Sus scrofa: one gene and its partner. The protein of the gene in region 1 interacts with the protein of each later gene in a biochemical or structural test. Links are inferred from orthologs where the notes say so. Each region holds a gene or a part of one and is shown on either strand. Other genes may lie near its edges.

The links.
Region 2: of the proteins of histone H1.5 (region 1) and CCNA2, one has a biochemical effect on the other in vitro, tested with the Homo sapiens proteins (2 studies listed by BioGRID). The link is inferred for Sus scrofa from reciprocal best matches to the Homo sapiens genes H1-5 and CCNA2.

Annotation. Positions count from the first base shown.
Region 1 is NC_010449.5:21,620,074-21,626,529, reverse strand, and holds histone H1.5, read left to right. Parts: upstream 1-3,883; 5' UTR 3,884-3,933; coding exon 3,934-4,614; 3' UTR 4,615-4,667; downstream 4,668-6,456. UniProt on the Homo sapiens protein: Histone H1 protein binds to linker DNA between nucleosomes forming the macromolecular structure known as the chromatin fiber. Histones H1 are necessary for the condensation of nucleosome chains into higher-order structured fibers.
Region 2 is NC_010450.4:102,257,524-102,265,460, forward strand, and holds the start of CCNA2 (cyclin-A2), read left to right. Parts: upstream 1-2,822; 5' UTR 2,823-2,890; coding exon 2,891-3,103; intron 3,104-3,849; coding exon 3,850-4,093; intron 4,094-5,639; coding exon 5,640-5,752; intron 5,753-5,947; coding exon 5,948-6,171; intron 6,172-6,791; coding exon 6,792-6,999; intron 7,000-7,444; coding exon 7,445-7,558; intron 7,559-7,937. UniProt on the Homo sapiens protein: Cyclin which controls both the G1/S and the G2/M transition phases of the cell cycle. Functions through the formation of specific serine/threonine protein kinase holoenzyme complexes with the cyclin-dependent protein kinases CDK1 or CDK2.

The DNA of each region.
Region 1 (6,456 bases):
GTTCCTGGAGAACGTGATCCGGGACGCCGTCACCTACACCGAGCACGCCAAGCGCAAGACCGTCACCGCCATGGACGTGGTCTACGCGCTCAAGCGCCAGGGCCGCACCCTCTACGGCTTCGGCGGCTAGAGGTACCTCAAGCAAGTACTCTTACTCAAAAGGCCCTTCTTAGGGCCACCCACCAAATCTATTGAAGAGCCATACACAACATGCACTTAAGGTTTTTTTTCTTTTGGACCACTTAACTGTGGAGTCTGGCTTAGGGCAACTATAGCGTCGAAAATGGGGTATTTAAACCGAGCTTTGTCACTTAACCCATACCCCATCAGCAACCACACCTATCGTTATCAGTTTGATCGTAATCCGTACATTAACTCTGCACAGACATTAAGTGTAGCCTGGGCTTATTGGCCATTTCAACTGCCCGCACAGCAACATCTAGGGCAAAGTGGTTACACTACGTTAGAGCTGGCAGTGCGTAGTACAATCAAACCCTTTTACAGAAGAAGTTGGCCAGCTCTCGTTTTAATAAAGTGTTTAAGCACGCTGAAGCTTAATAACCCTGGCATAGGACTTGGCTAGATTTCAACTTCAATGCCTTTTTCATACACCAGTTCCCTTTCATGTTATTTAGTAAACTTTTTGTCAAGGATCCAATTATGACGCCGTATTTAAAGTAGCAGAAAGCACTTTAAGAATGTTGATGCATCCTGCAGGCTTTTTTTAAAGCCAATAAAATTTTATCTTTTTTTTTTTTTTTTTTTTGTCTTTTTTGCTATCTCTTGGGCCGCTCCCGCGGCATATGGAGGTTCCCAGGCTAGGGGTCCAATCGGAGCTGAGCCACCGGCCTACGCCAGAGCCACAGCAACGCGGGATCCGAGCCGCTCACAGCTCACGGCAACGCCGGATCGTTAACCCACTGAGCAAGGGCAGGGAGCGAACCCGCAACCTCATGGTTCTTAGTCGGATTCGTTAACCACTGCGCCACGACGGGAACTCCTAAAATTTTATTCTGTACAATAAACCCAATGGCCAAATCAGAAGCGCGAAAATGCTTCCTTAAAGAATAAACCCAGATCCAAATCTGTGGGCGGGAAATGGTGGAAAGGTGGGGCAAGTGGAAAGGGCGGGGCAGGGGAGGGAGGCTGCGCCCTATTGTCCAATCAAGACTCGAGGGTCACTATATATATTGAGAAGCCAGCCTCCTCTGCGATTAAGCAAGTGGCGCGACTCAGCCATGGCTCGTACCAAGCAGACCGCTCGCAAGTCCACCGGCGGCAAGGCGCCGCGCAAGCAGCTGGCCACCAAGGCGGCCCGCAAGAGCGCGCCCGCCACCGGCGGCGTGAAGAAGCCGCACCGCTACCGGCCCGGCACGGTGGCCCTGCGCGAGATCCGGCGCTACCAGAAGTCCACGGAGCTGCTGATCCGCAAGCTGCCGTTCCAGCGGCTGGTGCGCGAGATCGCGCAGGACTTCAAGACGGACCTGCGCTTCCAGAGCTCGGCCGTGATGGCGCTGCAGGAGGCGTGCGAGGCCTACCTGGTGGGGCTCTTCGAGGACACCAACCTGTGCGCCATCCACGCCAAGCGCGTCACCATCATGCCCAAGGACATCCAGCTGGCTCGCCGCATCCGCGGGGAAAGAGCTTAAATCTCCTGGCATCTTCCTTCATCTAATACCCTACCCCAAAGGCTCTTTTCAGAGCCCCTCAATTCTCACCAAAAAGGAGCTGTGGGTTCTAGATGATATATGTCGTGCCAAAAATATCAAGGTTCTTGGAAGACAGCTATTGTGGGCTCCAACTTGTTCGGAGGTTATGTTGCAGACTGCAAGTGGCTGGCACTTTGTTCTTAGGTTAGCCTATTGCTGTTAACGGGAAGGCGGAGAAACCCTTTTTAGAAACTAAACAGTTATGGGAGTTATGGAAAGAACTGTTGCCCCATTCTTTGTTATTACTGCCTAACGTGAATAACTTTGGAAACAAGTGCAGCTTCCCCTCGCCCCCCAAGTACTGTGCTGTGACTACAGATAGTGCTCCATGTCTTCCTGTTGTAGAAAGAAATAAGGTTGAGGTTCAAGCCTTACAGCTGCCAATTGCTTTTACCTGTATAACCTTTACCAAGTTACACAGCCTCCTTCTGGGACTCCTTTGTACAGCTGTAAAATGTGGCAAACGGATTAAAGTTTGTAGAGAGTGCTAAGGTTAGTTCCTGGCACTTTAGTTAAATACTCAACAAATATTGGCCTCTCCTACCACTAAAGCATGGACCTCGCCACCCCTCAAACCCCCTTACAAAATATTCTGAAGGTTTGGGGATTAAAAATGGGAAATGCTTAGTTGGAACATTTTCTTGTTAAAATCTCCCTTTCTTTAGTTATTGATTTGCATAATTCTGAACGATGCAAGCAAGCCTGAAGCAGCATAACGTGTCTGTGAGGAGTTACAAAACACAACAATAGTAAATAGGTTTAGGGGGCAAAATATAGTCTGTCACATTAAAAAAAAATTTAAAATGGAAAAAATTGGCTGGAGGGCCATGCAAAAACAGATGACTGTCCAGATTTTACTAGAGTAGGCTGTAATTTCAATTCCAGGAGCTCCTGGGGTTGAAGTGTGTTGGTTCTCCGTTTTTCAAAGGGAAGAACCAACTGCTGGTTGCATTAGGTATCCTAAACATCACAACCAAGCTCAAAATCCTGTCCATATCTCGCACCTCTCCTCAGTAAATAGAAAAATTCACTGTCCCTTCAAACTTTTGGTCATTGCCTCAGTTTTCTTGAATGTTAATGTTTTCCTAATTTCTTCTAAACTTCTATAACCTCCAGTCCCTTAATGCTCAACCCATACTTCTCATAGTAGGCAATTATTTCACTGAAGCATATAGGTCTATCTTAAATACATAAAAATTCCCACACTGATGTCCTACAAAAGAGAATGTTCCTGACCATGGAAATTTGTTAAATGTAGATGGAGTTAAGGAGTTTGAGTGAGAGCACTGGGAAAAGCGCCTTGAAAGATAGACAAAATCCCATGCCATCTAAAACAGTTTGAGGTTTTGAGGGCTCCTGGAAACCCTTGAATAATTTTTATCAGGTATCAGAGTTTTTTTTAAAAATACATTATCTAGGCTAAGCAATTTTTGTTCATACTTTAATGGATTTGCCAAGGAGAAAAGGCATCTCAGTCAAAAACATACTAAATTTGTTTGAATTTGAATGCAGTTCATTCCATCCTGAAGCCAAAGCAAATTCTATTCCTCCTGGAAGAAGTCACTCTGGCAACAGTACTATTACGTCTCTGAAGACATGGGCATGTGGAAACTCCTTGAGAGGCAAAACCGGTTTTTAAAGAAAGATGTATATGGTTAATTTGGGGCTGTATGTAACCAGCCACCCTGCGCCTGTGTTACTTCCTGCAGTTGGAAACCAAGTTTATGGCAAAACCAAGGAACCTAGTGTCTTTCCTACTGCAAGAATCAAAGGCCGAATTTAGGGACAAATCCTTTTTAAAAACATTCGCTTGATACTTATTAGGAATTTACTGTAACATCCAACTAACTAGCTCGATGCCTTGAGCCCGGTGGATTCCTATGAAAAGCTGAAGGGATTTTTTAAAATATCTTTCATCAGTTGCGCGTAATTCATTAAAACACAAACAAGTATGTGAACCTGGAGGCTATTTTCCTCCTTTGGAGTTTCAAAGGATAAAATTCTGTACGATTTTTTTTAGCATTTAATCAAATTTGGGGGACTAACAAACACAGTTTGGAAGTCCAACCACGAGAGGCGGCTGCCCTAGGGCGGTGGATTGGACGCTCCACCAATCACAGGGCAGCACCGGCTTATATAAGCCCCAGGCCCCAGCAAGGCAGCATTGCAAAACTTGCTCTTCGGATCTTGAATCCTACTTCCTCTGGCAGTTTCTCCCATCGCCATGTCGGAAACCGCTCCTGCTGAGACGGCTGCCCCGGCGCCGGTGGAGAAATCCCCTGCTAAGAAGAAGGCAACAAAGAAGCCTGCGAGCGGAGGGGCGGCCAAGCGGAAGGCAACTGGCCCCCCAGTTTCTGAGCTGATCACTAAGGCCGTGGCCGCCTCCAAAGAGCGCAATGGCCTCTCTTTGGCTGCGCTCAAGAAGGCGCTGGCAGCGGGAGGCTACGATGTGGAGAAGAACAACAGCCGCATCAAGCTGGGTCTCAAGAGCCTGGTGAGCAAGGGCACCCTGGTGCAGACCAAGGGCACCGGTGCTTCTGGCTCCTTTAAGCTCAATAAGAAGGCAGCCACTGGGGAAGCCAAGCCCAAAACGAAGAAGGCTGGGGCCGCTAAGGCAAAGAAGCCTGCCGGGTCCACCCCTAAGAAGCCAAAGAAGGCTGCGGGGGCCAAGAAAGCTGTGAAGAAGACGCCCAAGAAGGCCAAGAAACCCGCGGCTGCTGGCGTCAAAAAGGTGGCCAAGAGCCCTAAGAAGGCGAAGGCCGCCGCCAAGCCGAAAAAGGCTGCCAAGAGCCCCGCTAAGCCCAAGGCTGTGAAGCCTAAGGCCGCCAAGCCCAAAGCCGCAAAGCCTAAGGCAGCAAAACCCAAAGCTGCAAAGGCCAAGAAGGCGGCTCCCAAGAAGAAGTAGGAAGTTGGCGCTCGAGGTAGCAAACCCCCAAAGGCTCTTTTCAGAGCCACCCAGAGACCTCTGAAAACAGCTGTGCACTAAATATCAACTGTCCTCTTATATTCTTACTTTGGTTCAGGCATTCAACTTTCTTCCTCCGAGAAAGTTTACAAAATACGAAGGATGTAATAACATGGCTGAAACTTTAAAAAGCCCGCGCCGTGTTCTGATAGGTCCCTGATTCAAAAAACAATAACTACGCCCACACCCGCCACTTCGGGCGCCGCCGCGCGAGATCTGATCCGTATGAGTGTCCTAAAAGCCAAAGGTCACACGAACGCGGGATCCTTAAGCCCCAAGCTCAAAAACCGGGGTGCACCAGGGATCCAACCCAACACGCATCTCTCGTGTGTACTATTTGTTTTTGGGTTCGTTGAGCCACAAGGGGGAGGGAGAAGTTCCCGATTTTAAGATGGCTCTTGGCTCAACTTCCGCAAACCACCGGTAACAGTGACAATTGGATTGACACGAGCCAGCTCTTCCACAGAAAAAGTAGGTGGCTCTGAAAAGAGCCTTTGGTTTAGAAGGCTTTGCTACGGAAACCTTACTTGCCCTTGGCCTTGTGGTGGCTCTCGGTCTTCTTGGGCAGCAGCACCGCCTGGATGTTGGGCAGGACGCCGCCCTGAGCGATGGTGACTTTGCCCAGCAGCTTGTTGAGCTCCTCGTCGTTGCGGATGGCCAGCTGCAAGTGGCGCGGGATGATGCGCGTCTTCTTGTTATCGCGAGCCGCGTTGCCCGCCAGCTCCAGGATCTCGGCCGTCAGGTACTCCAGCACCGCCGCCAAGTACACCGGCGCCCCAGCTCCAACCCGCTCGGCATAGTTGCCCTTGCGGAGCAGGCGGTGCACTCGGCCCACCGGGAACTGGAGCCCGGCTCGCGAGGAGCGGGTCTTGGCCTTGGCGCGAGCTTTACCTCCTGCTTCCCACGTCCAGACATGATCCGCAATAGGAAACTGGCACAGAAGAGACTGAAGAGAAAAGAGAAACACTCACAATTTATAACTACAGCTGGGCGCGAAAAAGAAGTTCTTCCATTGGCCAAAACAGCGGTTCTACTTTTTAGAAGACTAATACAGTTCCTGTAGATGCGCGTTCTGATTGGATATCATTGAAAATGACATCATTACTAGTATTTCCCAATCAGACCTAGGCATTCACTAGATATAATTTGCATAAGGAGTTGTAAATAAAAAGAACCCGATGCTCCCGTTGTTCTTCGTTTCTGGAGAATTTGGCAACCTTTCACCATGCCTGAGCCAGCTAAATCTGCCCCAGCCCCAAAGAAGGGCTCCAAGAAGGCGGTGACCAAGGCGCAGAAGAAGGACGGCAAGAAGCGCAAACGCAGCCGCAAGGAGAGCTACTCGGTGTACGTGTACAAGGTGCTGAAGCAGGTCCACCCCGACACCGGCATCTCGTCCAAAGCCATGGGCATCATGAACTCCTTTGTCAACGACATCTTCGAGCGCATCGCGGCGAGGCCTCGCGGCTGGCGCATTACAACAAGCGCTCGACCATCACGTCCCGGGAGATCCAGACGGCCGTGCGGCTGCTGCTGCCCGGGGAGCTGGCCAAGCATGCCGTGTCCGAGGGCACCAAGGCTGTCACCAAGTACACAAGCGCCAAGTGAGTTGCCCCACAGCCACCCATACCGACCCCAAAGGCTCTTTTCAGAGCCATCCACGCTTTCCAAAGAGAGCTGGCACTTAGTTTATCCCTGCAAAAGCAGTAATAATCTCAAGCCTTTAGTTGAATGCCGCTTAATTTGTTCAACACAGTAGATTTTTGATTTGTGGTATTTCAGATG
Region 2 (7,937 bases), on another chromosome or scaffold:
TTGTATTTTTGTATATACCAGTAGCAGTTCAGAATTGGCCAGCAGTTGATTGTCTGAATTAATATCTTGTAACCAGTTGTTAAGAGGGTTATTAGCCAAATGATTTATATTTTGAAACTGGCCTTAAAATCCTCCCAAAATAAATAGGGTTTTTTGTTTCTGGTTTGTCTTTTTAGGGCTGCACCTGAGGCATATAGAAGTTCCCAGGCTAGGGTTCAAATTGGAGCCTATACTACAGCAACGCCAGATCCAAGCTGCATCTACAGCCTACACCACAGCTCACGGCAATGCTGGATCCTTAACCCACTGAGCAAGGCCAGGGATTGAACCTGTGTCCTCATGGATGCTGGTCAGATTTGTTTCTGCTGAGCCACAAGGGAACTCCCCAAAAGAGTTTTAATGCAGCAATCCTTTTAGGTTTGTGTATGTTAAGTAATGGAATTACAAGTGCTTGGAAATAGATTCTCAAGCAATCGCTTACTTTCATTAAATATTATTTCATTAATAGAACTACTCAATGACAGGAAATTATTTTTTTCTTTCTAGGTATGATCACCGATCTTTTCATAGATAAATTCAAGTTCAAAGGCACCAATGTAAAAACCAAAGTGCCTCTTTTACTGGAGATTCTGGACAGTTATGACCAAAATGCATTGATTGCTTTCTTTGATGCTGCATGAAATGTAAACAAGGTAAAGCTCCAAAGAAGCTGTTTAAATAATTGTCTGTTTAAATGAAAAATGTTAAAACAGAATTACAAGCTAACAGTACATACTTTTATTTCAAGTGCTTTTTAATATCTAAAAATATTTGAGGTACAACCTTTTTTAAAGTAATGCTTCTATTTTTTTGACAAATGAAACTTTTTAAAAATGAAGAGATGTTTTATTTTAAAACATAAATGAAATGAGTCTGATGGATTTTAATGAATTTTTTCCAAGTGGATGTTTTAACTTTTAATTGAGAAATATTATTTGTAAAGTAAAAATATATTCAAAGATTTAACAAGCTAATACATATATGTATAAACTCAGTTTTCAAAATTGTATTTATGTATGTTATCTCATTTGATCTTGACAATATATTTATGATCATTTTGTCAATTCATATAGGAAAACTGATTCTTAGTGAGGTTAAGTGTTTAAGAAGACATGCTATTAATTTGTAAATATGGGATCCAAGTTCTGGTTCCTGGATTATGTTTTGGTTACTATGTATGTGTACAACCTATAAATTTTTTTTCCTAGGAATTGAGATTGATTTGCAAAACTGATTTTGCTGTTGCTTAGTAATGTTTTGTGACCCATGCTCAGTTTGTGAAATATTTGAGTTGACTCAGCGCTATATTTAACTTGTTATGACCAAGGGAAATCACCTGGGTGGGCTTGAACAGACTGGGGGATCGTAACTTAATGTGCTGTAACTAGTAGGACTATGTAAGTGTACTACATGTGAATAGTGCAAAAATAGTGATAGCTTCTTAGATTTTCCTGCCATAGTATCCACTGATCTCCTTTTAATCATATATGGGGGGAAATATGACTTTAAGGCTATGGAAGTTTTGTTCATTAATCTTAATTCATATTGATTCATATTCAGGTGAATATTGTACGTAAAGGGTGTTTTAAAATACCGTAAGGAAATAGAAAATAAGCTATTTTTTATGTTTTCAAGAAAGGCTCGCTCACACTCATGAATTTGTTGGAAAACAGTGCTTCTTAATTATATACCATTATAATTATTAGATATGTGCAAGCCTTGTATATTAAATGTTAGAATTTGTTAAGGCACATATTGCTAACAGAGTTTTATTTTAATAAGGTCATATTGTTTTTACTATATTTAAACATTCATTTCTAAATGGAGCACATAATTATATATAGATCACTAGAATTTTACTCTGCTTTTTGTTGGCTACCACAGCTTGGGAAAGAAAGAGATGAACATTAATGACCATCTAGTGGAGTTTTTTTGTAGTACATTACTCTTTGCTACATCTATCAACAGTAGTACAAGGTGGTACTTCAAAATAACTGCATCATCATTAGAAAAATAAAAAGCATGACTGTGCGAAGCACTTAAATGGTAAGATGATGTAGTCTGCCACTTGAGTATCAGTTACGTTAGCAGTGTGTTAAATGACTTATGCACGTTATTTAATACTAAGGACACCTATATAACGCATAAACATTATTACTCCCAATTAACAGTTACAAAACTGAGAATCAACATTGAAGTGCTTGAACAAGATCACCGGGCCAGTAAGTGGGCGGATCAGATTTTAGACCTTGAGAAACTAGTCAGTCGAGCTAACTGGAGGTCCTGAGGCTAAAGGCCAAGGTGGCCCACTAATAATTGTTAAAATTTAATTTAGTTTATTCTAGAGACAGCCCTTGCTCTGAGACAGGGACCCCCTAGTGGCTCCGTTTAAAGTCACAATAAGCTTAGGCCCCGCCTCTTTGCGCAGCGCGGGCGTACTTCCTCCTGCTGCTCACCGACTTTTCTTCGCCCCGCTCCGCCCCTGCTCGGTTTCCTTCGCGGCAGCCTTCACTTGCCTGCGACTGTGTCGCCCAGCGTGACGTCACGGGCCTTGGCCCTTATCATTGGTCCATTTCAATAGTCGCGGGCTACTTGAACTGCAGGAACAGCTGCCGCTCCGGCGGGCTGCTCGCTTCATTCCGGGGGCGTCCTTGACCCTGCACGCCCGGCAGCGCCTGCCTCCGGCTTTTGCAACCTCCTTGGTCCTGCACGATCCTGAGCAGGCGGGCGGGCAGGCTGGCCCGGGCTGTGGCGGGTAGGTAGGGCAGGAGTGTTCCTCGGCGGGTCGGCGGGACGCAGTGCACGCTGCTTGGCGCCGCAGGCTGATCCCGTCGCGCCCCCGGGAGCAGTGATGTTGGGCAGCTCCGCGCCCGGGCCTGTGGCCCGCGAGGCGGGCTCGGCGTTGCTAACATTGCAGCAGACGGCGCTCCAAGAGGACCAAGAGAACATCAACCCCGAGAAGGCTGCGGCCGCCCAGCAGCCCCGGACCCGGGCTGGGCTGGCGGTACTGAAGGCCGGGAACTCACGGGGTCCAGCGCTGCAGCAGAGGCCTAAGACGCGACGGGTAAATGAGTTATTATCTGGAGGAGGGTGGGCCAAGCGGGAGTTTTGCATGGGTTTGGACCGCAGAGGAGAGTGGCGAGGTAGCATCTCCTGGGGTTTTTTCGGGAGGCCAGTGTCGGGGGTCCCTTTGACCTCTGGTTTTCTCGAGTGTGGGATGCCACATTACCCCCATTCCTTTCTCCCATTAGTCTCCCTGCCAGCACTATGCGTTTATGTTGCCTGTCTGCTCTATGGAGAGTATTTTGCTATAGACAATAATGGTCAAACCAAATCCTCCGACGTTGAGTATGTGTTAAGTACGGTCTTTGCCGCCTCCGCGCCTTTCTCTCAGCTTTTAGGCCCCAGGCATTGCCCGGACCTCCTTCATGCTACCCACATAATTAAGAGATTACCTCTACTTTAGAAAAAGGTATAAAAAATACTTTGCTTTTGGACAATTCCGCCATCTTACCGAATTTGCTCTGTTGCTCCACCCTGGGGCGAAAGAGGTAAACCACTTTTTTGCCATTTCTCCTAAATTTGGCATCTTTTGGCCTGCCCCACCACCTATCTTAGCCCTGATTATTTTTGTGTAATCCGTTAGTGTGACTCTAAAACCTCTGCAGGAACGCATACTCAAATTTCCTTGCCTGAATTTTGCCCCATAAAGTTTAATTTTCCTGATAGAGTATTTGGAAGTAAATGCAGTATAAGGGGATGAAAGCCAAATTCCATTTAATAGACTCAAAGCCAGTTATTTATTTTTAGGTTGCGCCTCTTAAGGATCTTCCTATAAATGATGAGCATGTCACTGTTCCTCCTTGGAAAGCAAACAGTAAACAACCTGCATTTACCATTCATGTGGATGAAGCAGAAGAAGAGACTCAAAAGAGGCCAGCTGAATCTAAAAAACCAGAAAGTGAAGATGTCCTGGCTTTTAATTCAGCTGTTACTTTACCTGGACCAAGAAAACCACTGGTACCTCTTGATTACCCAATGGATGGTAGTTTTGGTAAGTTTTAAAGAATATCTGTATCAAATAAATGTAATCATAATTATTGCATAGGTAAGTTTAGAAAGGCTGTGACTTATTTCAGGCCTCACAGTTTATCCATGACCTAGTGACCTACAAAAGGATCTTAATCCTATACTCTCTGGTACACTATTAATCACATCAGTTTTATTAGATCTCAAACACTTACTTTAATCTGACCCTGGACATGTTGCTTGATTGGGAGAATATATTTCAATTGTATTCTTAAGATTCACTTTGTATATACCATTTCAAAGAGTGCTATTTGAGGATGTAGTTTAAATATTGTGATCAGGAGTTCCCGTTGTGGCGCAGCGGAAACGAATCCGACTAGGAACCATGAGGTTTCGCGTTCAATCCCTGGCCTTGCTCAGTGGGTTAAGGATCCAGTGTTGCCATGAGCTGTGGTGTAGGTCGCAGATGTGGCTTGGATCCCACGTTGCTATGGCTCTGGCGTAGGTTGGCAGCTACATCTCTGATTAGACCCCTACCTGGGAACCTCCGTATGCAGTCCGGTGAGGCCCTAAAAAGACAAAAGACAAAAAATAAATGTTGTGATCAACATCTCTTCCAGCTTTAAACTTTTGTTTAAAAGCAGTCTGAGTGATTGACTGACACCAGGGAGGGACATGGTTATCCTGTGAGTCACAGTTGAACTATGCTTTTTTGTACATTACCACATATAATAGATGGGCTCACTAAATCTAGTATATTTTAGTTCTGTCAATGAGAGGTATAGCAGGGAAGTCCTTTGAAAATAAAATAATTTGTGTACTTTTATTTAAAATGTACAGGAGTTCCCTTGCGGCTCAGTGGGTTAAGGATCTGGTGTTGCCATGTTGTGACTGGTTACAGCTGTGGGAGGGTTCCATCTCTGGCCTGGTAGTTGCCACATGCCCTAAAAAGACCAAAAAAAAAAGAAAAAAGTAAAATTTACAACAAATTTTAACCTCAGATTAAACCTTGAAGTAAAAACATTAATAGCTGATACTTTTTGCCTCCAAAGATAATCTAAATTTACAACAAAGAATCTCCCCTTGATTGTAGTGTTAATAGGTTGGAACTGCCCATAACAAATATAATTCTCTTTAGCACACATTAGCCTTCTAGTTACCGTCTAGATTGTGCTTTGAATACGTCAGACTTTGGGGTCTGTAAGCTCCCTTATGACAAATCCTAGGTATTACCTCAAAACTTGATTTTAACTTATTCTGACAGAACCGTTGTACTCCTGTCATGGGAGATGAAGGATACTTTAACAAAATATCTTTTCCTCAAATTCTTTTTCCTGTTAATGGCTTATCAGTATTTTTTTTTTTTTCTTGTTAAAATCATTCCAAAGCTAGGTGGACAGAGGTACGAAAATCAGAGTGAAATCCTCTATGTATTTTGTCATAAGAAGCTCTTTTTAGTTGGATAAAATAAATGCTTTGGTAGTATGGGACTCCTTACAAGGACAATCACTTTTAGCTTTAATTAGATAGAAAATTAAAAGTAACTTAATCTTATTTCTTAATTCTCCTAGAGTCACCACATACTATGGACATGTCAATTGTATTGGAAGATGAAAAGCCAGTGAGTGTTAATGAAGTTCCAGACTACCATGAGGACATTCACACATACCTTAGGGAAATGGAGGTAAAGGCTCTCTAAATCTTCTTATACTGTTGTTTATTCACTGTGGTGAAATGAAATTGAGGGTAATGTTTTAAATTTTTTAATTGCCAGTGGATTACTCTTAGGCTATACCTATGTTTCCAGCATGTAGCATCTCCTAATGGTAGAATAATCTAATTGCAGTTTTAACACTATACTAAATAACTTTCTCAACAGGTTAAATGTAAGCCTAAAGTGGGTTACATGAAGAAACAGCCAGACATTACTAACAGTATGAGGGCTATCCTCGTGGACTGGTTAGTTGAAGTAGGAGAAGAATATAAACTACAGAATGAGACCCTGCATTTGGCTGTGAACTACATTGATAGGTTTCTTTCATCGATGTCTGTGTTGAGAGGAAAACTTCAGCTTGTGGGCACTGCTGCTATGCTGTTGGCCTCGTAAGTCCAACTTGGTTTGTTGGATTTAAAGTGATTCATAGTATCTTTCTATTTAGGGAAGAAATGTGATTTTTAAAGTGTGACATTTTAAAACTTATACTACACAATGCAAAGTCAGTGACTACTATAGGGGTGGTGGTGTGGGTGAAAATTTTTAAATTTCAGACATTCGTTTTCCTAGTTCTGGATTTGAGGGCACATTGAATGAACATATAGATTACAAAGTGGCTCCTTCCACTGGAAAGTATTTTCTGGTATATAAGCAAAATCTTATTTTTTTTTCCCCATTAAGACATGAAAACTAAAAACTAAAATATAAAGCATTTATTTTTCTAAGAAACTTTCCTACATTTTCAGTTTCTTGGTGAACTCTGGTACTGTTTCCATCTTGGGAAGTCTCTTGCCTCATTTATTTCCTTTGACTGCAGTGGGAGAAATATTTGGGTCTTAATTAGCATTTACACAATCTCTGCTAGAAATGGTCAATTATCAGTGGAAATAAGCAACTGGTGGTAAGTACAGGCTTTGAATTTGTTTTATTCTACTTAAGGAATTTCAAGTTGGGGTAAACTTGCTTTTCTTTTAGGAGGACTAATTACTTAAAACTTCTTTCATTGTAGAAAATTTGAAGAAATATATCCCCCAGAAGTAGCGGAGTTTGTATACATTACAGATGACACTTATACTAAGAAACAAGTTTTGAGAATGGAGCACCTCGTTTTGAAAGTCCTTGCTTTTGACTTAGCTGCACCAACAATAAATCAGTTTCTTACCCAGTACTTTCTGCACCAGCAGTCTGCAAACTGCAAAGTTGAAAGTTTAGCCATGGTAAGTTCTTTTCATGTTGTTGAATGAAGATCCTGAGGTTACAATTAGGGGTAAACCGTAGTTTCATTATCCAGCCTTGGTCAAGGGATTTAGTACTTCAGGGATAGACTAGTGCCACAGTATGAAAGAAAGCCTATCACCAGCAAAAAGGAATATAAATTGAGAAAGCACTAGGGGTGGTGCTATGACGATGACTTCCCCGGAAATGATAGCCAAAAGAGTTGATTTAAGAGCTATTAGAGGAACTATACATGATGGGAATGAAGCAAAAACACTGATAGTGGATATATTTAAAGATGTGGCTATGGATTTTTTTTCCCCTATGGTTGCTTTAGAGCAGTTTTAAAAGACAGAAAAAAAAAAATGTAAGACCAGAACGCAAGGATTTCAAGTTTGAATTCCAGAGCTCTTAGGATCATAAAATGTATTTTTTTTTTTCTTCCAGTTTTTGGGAGAGTTAAGTTTGATAGATGCTGACCCGTACCTAAAGTATTTGCCATCAGTTACTGCTGCAGCAGCCTTTCATTTAGCACTCTACACAGTCACGGGACAAAGCTGGGTATGTATTACAACATCTTTACACATCTATCTTGTGGCTTAAATGTTTATGCCACATAGACAACTGATGGTTGTCCAGATGTACTGAACTGAGAGAGTTGTTCAACACTGTTTAAAGCATAAAATGTCTTGTACCTGTTTAAAAGCATCTATTTGTTAGGTTGAAAGCTTAGTTATTACTTGGACTAGAAACATGTGCTTGTGCTTAAAGGATTTGGCAGGGAAAATAGTAAAAACTGAAGTCCAAAAAAAAGAGCTTGAGAAAACTGGAAGATGTTAGTTGGGGGGTGTTAGTAATGAAGTTTAACAAAACTCAAGCTTAATGCCAACTACTAATTTGTGTTTAGTGTCTCTTTCTAAAAATGAGACTCAATGGTTCT